Oryzias latipes: one gene and its partner. The protein of the gene in region 1 purifies or fractionates together with the protein of each later gene. This does not show direct contact. Links are inferred from orthologs where the notes say so. Each region holds a gene or a part of one and is shown on either strand. Other genes may lie near its edges.

The links. Proteins that work in one complex are often made in the same cells at the same time.
Region 2: the proteins of gba2 (region 1) and ilvbl purify together in Homo sapiens (co-immunoprecipitation; 3 studies listed by BioGRID and IntAct, counting the BioPlex papers as one, with this or other methods). This does not show direct contact. The link is inferred for Oryzias latipes from reciprocal best matches to the Homo sapiens genes GBA2 and HACL2.

Annotation. Positions count from the first base shown.
Region 1 is NC_019876.2:18,564,311-18,567,458, reverse strand, and holds the end of gba2 (non-lysosomal glucosylceramidase), read right to left. Parts: intron 1,858-3,148; coding exon 1,742-1,857; intron 1,568-1,741; coding exon 1,376-1,567; intron 1,192-1,375; coding exon 967-1,191; 3' UTR 508-966; downstream 1-507. UniProt on the Homo sapiens protein: Non-lysosomal glucosylceramidase that catalyzes the hydrolysis of glucosylceramides/GlcCers (such as beta-D-glucosyl-(1<->1')-N-acylsphing-4-enine) to free glucose and ceramides (such as N-acylsphing-4-enine).
Region 2 is NC_019871.2:28,730,218-28,734,245, reverse strand, and holds the start of ilvbl (acetolactate synthase-like protein), read right to left. Parts: upstream 2,815-4,028; 5' UTR 2,499-2,814; coding exon 2,382-2,498; intron 996-2,381; coding exon 794-995; intron 674-793; coding exon 546-673; intron 463-545; coding exon 212-462; intron 95-211; coding exon 1-94. Other genes in the region: beta-galactosidase-1-like protein 2, read right to left, coding at 3,378-3,488, 3,596-3,712, 3,796-3,910. UniProt on the Homo sapiens protein: Endoplasmic reticulum 2-OH acyl-CoA lyase involved in the cleavage (C1 removal) reaction in the fatty acid alpha-oxydation in a thiamine pyrophosphate (TPP)-dependent manner. Involved in the phytosphingosine degradation pathway.

The DNA.
Region 1 (3,148 bases):
TTCAACTGTTAGTCTGCATAGTCTGAATTGATTAAAGCACCTATTTAGAAACTTCAATGGAAAAAATTAACTACTACACTTTTTAAGGAAGCGCGATGCTAACTTGTTGGTGCTTAAGAGTCTACCAATGATAATTCATAACTTTATAAACATTTGTAATTTTCAAGTAACATGTGAAAAATGAAACTATTGAAGTCCAACTTAACTTTACGCCAGACATGGACGTTCTCTTATCGCTTTCTGGCCTTTTTCAATGTCAGCTCCCAGATGCATGTGCAGGTAGCTATGAATGCTCCTCACTGATTGGTTAATTAATTCTTGACTGACTATTCATTAACACTGTAACATGTAACACAAACTCTTTTAAAAAGCCAGAAGTAACACTGCATCTGAAAGTGAAACACCTCAATGTAAGAGTAATTCATCATTTAACTCAAAATAATCACAATCCTCTAACAAAAAATTACAAGAAATAGCTCAGTAGTTGGTGTCCCAGTGACTAATATGTATGAAACAATACAACAAACATGCTTTATTATCCTTTACATAATTTATTCACTTTAATCATCAGAAATATTTTATATTATTTATGTAAAGGTTTGCATGCAACAAGGTACAAAATTCTTCCAACACATTATTGATTATTTAAGCAACTTGAAAATAAAAGAAGAAATATATAATATATCAACATGTTGCAGGTATGGTAATGCAATTGGCAAAACAATACAATGGAAGCCAATACTTGGTCTTCTAGCCTTTCATTCATGCAGTGTTTTTTCTGAATGCCTGGCTTGACAGCCAACAGTGCAAATGGATGTGCAGTCTTCTCAAAAAGTGTCCTTAAAAAATGACACATACAAACACCATGGTTCTAGATAACCAGTCAAAACAAGGAGTTGCAGTGTCCAGATGAGAGGAGGTGGCTGCAAGAGAGGTTCATCTGTGCTACATCAGAATAATCCGATTTCATGTTCCAACCTCATCCGAATCTCCAGTTGTTGGGGCCTGATCCTTTTGTGTCATGTTTAGAGCAAGCTGCATGGCCCAGATACTAAGAGGCCTCATGTAAGCCAGAGAACGGTAGATGTTCTTCTCACAATAGGCTTCAGGAGTCTGGAAGGCCATACCCAGCCTCTCCCATACTGTCCGGTAGCAACCCTCAGCTGTGTGCATCCCCTCCTCTCGCATGCCCTAAATGAGAAAAACAAAAAATAGCTACAATTTAATTACAATTTTCCTTATAATCAAGTGGCTAGAACACTTCACTGAAGGCATCTGTCCAAATAACCAAGGTTGAGCTTTCAGTAGGAAGTCTATGCAGAGAGCAAATAAATAAAAGAAATCCTCTGATGAAGATTTCGTCTCTCTTACTGACCTCATGGATCATAGTCGCTGCCAGCCCGTACACAACACCGATCCAAACCTCATCAGACTGGACACTGGAGCGGTCAGGCACTCCTTCAGGGCGCATGCCATTGACTGCACCCATTTGGCCCCCAGCAAAAGCCATCACATTCAAGTCAAAGATGGATTTCAGTGTACTCTGAATCTTTTCTTTGGGAAAAGCCTGTGTGGACAAGCAAGGTCAACGTTTACTCTTAAACACATCTGAACAAGTTGTAGATAAATTCTGATGAGTTTTTAATGTCTATAGGATTCCCTCATCTTTTTACATAGACCTTAAAAGGCAATCATGTTTGTTTATAGGTGGAAAAGATTGTATCTTTTATGTTTAACTTGCCTGATAGTCTTCTTCCCCACAGGCTGATGCTTTAAGGAACCAATGACCTGCACACTGGTCTGACATGACACTGTTGGAATGATATCTCCCACTGCTGTCATAGTTGTAGTACTTGCCTAAAGATGGCATGAAAAGACAAACAAGGAAGTCAGTTCTAGTCTTTCAGCTGCAAAGCTTGACCAAAAGAAAATGGAAATACTGAAATTCTGCCTGGCTACCTGTGGTTCTGGTTATCGAAGCATTCACATTGTTTTAGTAAACTTAAAAAATGCTAGTAAATGTCTTTCCTGTAATTTTGGGGTGGAATATTTCATCGTGACAGTGAAATGCTGAGTAAAGTCTTTTCAGCACATCTCAGTGATTTTCAAAGAGGTTAAGTCATGGGCTCTGTCGTGACCAACTGAAGTGTGGAAATGATCCCTAATCTCTCCTGAACCGTTATTTTATAATTACATGCTGTGAATCCCGGCATTGTCACACTGAGAAAAAAAAAAGTATTTTTTTTTGGAGGTTGCATGATCAGTGAATGATGAATGACTGGCAATCTAGCGGCTGGGTAGCTCGGTTGGTAAGGTGGGAAGCTACCACGCAGGAAACCAGGGTCCGATTCCCGGAGGGGAATGAGCAATGGTACTGGGGGCAATTATCATATCAATGGCGAGCAGTTAACATCACCCAGTGAGGGTCCTTAGGCAAGGCCCTTAACGCTACTGCCTCCCGAGCGCGGTTTCGGCTGCAGCTCACCGCTCCCCAAGGGGATGGGTCAAATGCGGAGAAAGAATTTCCCTTCATGGGATAAAATACAGTGTATAAAAAAAAAAAAAAAAAAAAAAAAACACTCTGGAGCAGCATCAGGCAGGTTCATCAAACCACAAAGATTATGTTTGAATTTCCTCACAACTCCCTAACTACTAAGAGACTACATAGTGCCCTGGATTTTACAGCAATTCAGACACATGCTCACTACTTTTTTTTCAAACGGGAAAACACAACAACATTTTTCTGAAGTAAAAACCTATAAATATGAACATTTTACAGAGACTATTTATGAATCCAGTGTTCTGATGATGAAAACTTCAATAATTTATAAACCAATAAATGTAATTAAATTGTTTTCAAATTGTTCAAACTCAATGCATTGTGGTCTATATTCCCTAATCTAGTGAGCATCGATGCACACTGGTTTTCGCAGAGACTTCTGGGAAATTTCTGGAGCACTTGATTTTGGGATTGTAGATTTGAACTCCCTGAAAAAATGGCAAAAGCCCTATTTACCTTTTGAGATACGTTTTAGCACAATCTAAAATAACCCACATACACCTAAACTGCAACCTAATAAGCACCAATTCAAATATAAAAGCCAAATAAAGATCATTTTTTATTTAAGGTTTTGACTTAAAAGATCAA
Region 2 (4,028 bases), on another chromosome or scaffold:
CTCTGTGGCTTGAGGGACGTGGACAGAAAGAGGACAGACATCTCTGGCCTCCCAGGCTCCAGCAAAGAGGTTCTTCAGGTGATTTCGGAGATACCTTGCAGGTGATCAGACCAGAAAACATTAAAATAAAACAAAAAACGACAACTATACATCAGTTTGACAGACAATGATTGTTATTTCATGACAACAGAACTGCACTCTAATAACATACCATGAAATGATACTTCCCATCAGGCCTTTAGGGGGGGTTTTCGGTGCAAACTCTTTGGACACAAGGTGATAGGGGTACAGGGTGTCGATGGGGAACTCTACAAAAACGGGGCCGGGCGTTCCTGACTGGGCAATGGCCAGGGCTTTTCTGAGAGTCGGCACTATTTCCCTCACCGTCCTGATGGAGGCACAGAATTTACACAGCGGCTTGAAGAGAGACATCTGGTCGATGTCTTGCAGTGCCCCCCTTCCCTGCCGTGCAAAGGATTGATCATTTAAATGTGCGTAGCACCTACCAGAGAGTTCGCATCCCATTTCCATCTGCGTTCACCTACCTGCAGTAGTGTAGCAGCACCTCCTCCCAAGAGCAGCACAGGAGATTCAGCCATTTGGGCGTTCTTTACCGCCGTCACCGTGTTCGTCAGGCCCGGGCCGGCGGTTACAGTTGCTACCCCCACAGTACCTGGTACAGAGAGCCACACAACCACGTTGAACTCCAGAGGGAAAAAAACAAAACAAAATGTAAGAAATGTGGAAAGTTCGGCTGGGATTTGAAGCCCCGGGGTAAAACGTCAGCCTGCACCTGAGAGCCGCGCCACGGCGTCTGCGGCAAAGACCGCCGTGGCTTCGTGTCTGGTGTCCACGATACGGATGCCGACCTTCTCGCAAGCCACGAGGATCGGGGAAATGTGCCCGCCCACCAGGGTGAAGAGGAACTTGACCCCGTGAGCACGGAGGACCTCTGCCACGCTCTCACCGCCATGGCGGGGGCTCTCGGTCTCCGTCTGCAATGAGATAAAGAGAACAAGGGGGAAAAGTGTTTAAAAAATATATCAATTTTCCAACCGTTTTTAATGTCTGTACAGGTTTAAAGTTCCACTCCAATCATCTTTTCATTCTTTTTAAAGCATTCCATGCAGCCTTTGAACAATTATGCTGTTTGTTTTAGGATAAATTGTAAAACTTGGACCTAATTTCTGCAGAGCGACAGGTGTTTATAAGAAATTAACCCTTTTTTCCCCCCTTTCTTGAAAAGTTGAGCTTTTTTTTGTCTGCTCCCGATTCACAACAAACAAACAAACAAACAAACAAACAAACACGCAAATTTAAGCTCAATTTTCTTCCATGATCAGAAATATGCCACAAGAACATGTTAGAAAAGAACCGCTATTTAACCAAACGCTGTGCTTGTCAGGTAAGTGTTTCTCTTCAAATACTTCAGCTGTCTATAAACTAGGAAACTATGTGTTCAGTAGTGTTGTGTTGCAGTGTGTAGCCTCTTTTCGCCACATCTGTTGGGGGATGGATTTGTCGGAGGAGCAGCAGAGCCGATCAGGCACCCATGAAAGATTTGCCTAAATCTTTCAGCCAAAGTCCAACTGTATTTTATTGTTGTTGTTGTTATTATTGACTTATTTTGAGTTTCCCTCAAGTGTTTCAATTCAATTCAATTTTATTTGTATAGCCCAAAATCACAACAACAGTCGTCTCGATGGGCTTCGAAGTAAAACATGAACTCCTGTTTGGCAAGAGGTGACAGATCACTTGAGGTATCCGATTTGGCGTGTTTGTGCCACCAGACCAGCCTAACCACATTGGCCGACTTGCAGCAAAAGCTTGTTGGAGGATGGACTGGCGTCCCGCAGCGGCGTGCGACGGAGCCAGGGACCGGCGTGAGGAGCACTGGGTCCGGTTCTTCACGTCCTTCTGCAGGTGCTGAATGTGGTTAGATTGCCAACATGGTCTGATTCCTTAATCACAAGTCGGTGGCAGAGCAAGCTGTGATTGGAAGAGATTAGGACATTTATCCCACAAATCTGTGTTTTTTATTTATTTTTTAATAAATGCAATTTGACCCAAAAGAGGTCGTGCAAGCAGGACTTCTGCATCAAAGAAAGATGCTTTAGTTATCATTCTCTGGAGGCTTATCTCTCCAATTCCATTTCCCAACAGTGTGCACACATGCAGCTTCCATGCTTTTGTGCAATCTCCCCGACAGCTTGGCTGTGATGGCCTTTGTTCGAGAAAACCACAAGGCTGGTCAAAGTTTACCCGAGTCAGTCAGTGGAGCTCGATTTACCCTTTTACCCGGGTCAGCTGGCAGATCTGATCCGCAAAGCGATCACGCGTGGAGTAAAAACAATGCGTTTTCATTTTAGACGAACACCCACCTGGTGAAACAGCTGGTAAAATAAGCCAAGTTTGTAGGCGGCGAGCAGCAGCGCGACCACCGGGATGCAACAAGCAGAGCATCCGAGAACAGCGCCAACAGCTCCGAGCGACTCCATGTGTCGATGGGGAAGCAAAAGCCTCTCAGTGTAAAGGTGTAAACCGAGAAACTTTGAATTACCTCAAGGATAAACCTTAGTTTCTCCCCCCCGGTCGGTGCACTGAACGGTTTGCTCAGTCAGTCAGACTATGCTAACATGATACAAAACCGCTTTTGATTCCAGGTATAGCTGGATTTTTTGTCATGCAAATTCAGTATTTAGTTACGAGATTGAATTTCTATACGACATTCTCCTAAGTAAAAAGACACAGGGTAAACTATGACCCTTCGCTCCTCCCGTGGCAGCTATATGGGTGTCATTTCCTTTTTGAATGGTAAGCTAGCTGCAGGCACAAAGCCCCTTTCCAAAAAAATAATTTCAAAATAAACTTACGTTCACAGAAAAAATCGTTATACGCGTGCAGTGCAGTTAGAAACACAAAGTAATAGTATTTGTTTTTCAGAACTATAGTTAACTATGTCATTTTTCTTTCATTTAAAATGACGAATTTCACAACTATAAACAGTTTTTCAACTTTTATTTGTTTATTGTGAAAGGATGTTCAGGTTTTCCGCTGTGGTCATCCACGGTCCATATTTAGATGACAGGCGCTTCGTCCAACAGGAAGCTGAGGTGTCTAGCAACGCCTGTAACTTTATCTAACTAACTAACTAACTAACTAACTAACTAACTAACTAACTAACTAACTAACTAACTAACTAACTAACTAACTAACAAAAATTAGAATATCTCATTATTTTGAAAGAAGTTGTGATTTTGCAACATTTAAAAGTTAATTCCTAAAACAATTGGGCAAATTAGAAGAGCAAAAAAAAAGTCCACCGAATGTTACATGTGCACACAAACAGCTTAAAGCTGTGTGGTTTGAACACATTTTTACAGCAGTGTGCAGAAGGGCAGTTTATAAACATCGATAGTCTTTCCATGATCTGCATTCTCAGTAAAAACTACTTCCCCATTGGTTCTTTGCTCCTCGAAAAGAATAATCTGAAACCAAAAAAAAAAAAAAAACACACAAAAAAACAGACAATTAAAAGTCAAATTGTACAGGGAGACAATACTAAAACCAGTATAGTTTTTATAGATCGTGTAACCTGATTCTCTCCGCTCCTGAGCCAGTGTCCAGGGAGGTAAAGGAAACGTTGAGGACCAATAAACCAGTAACGGCCGAGATTCTGTCCATTAACGAATACAACACCTTTACCCCAACCCTGTGAACAAACACTGTTAAAATCCCTAAACTAGCATAAAAAGGCACAATTGACCACACAAATAATCCGACAGCTTTATTTACAGTCATTTGGATGAAGGTGTCTCTTGGTGAGCCGTCCACATTGAGCCTGGCTTGAAGAAATCCTGGGACAGCAAGTGATCTGAAGTCAGTCTTCCACTGAGCTGTGTGCGTTAATCTAAAACAGGAAACGTATCTATTTTTATTGTTGTGATTTGTTCTGAAATTGTTTTTAGGCTACATTCATTGATCAATACTGGGTGCATAATCACTAGTGATTATCCAGCTTATCCATC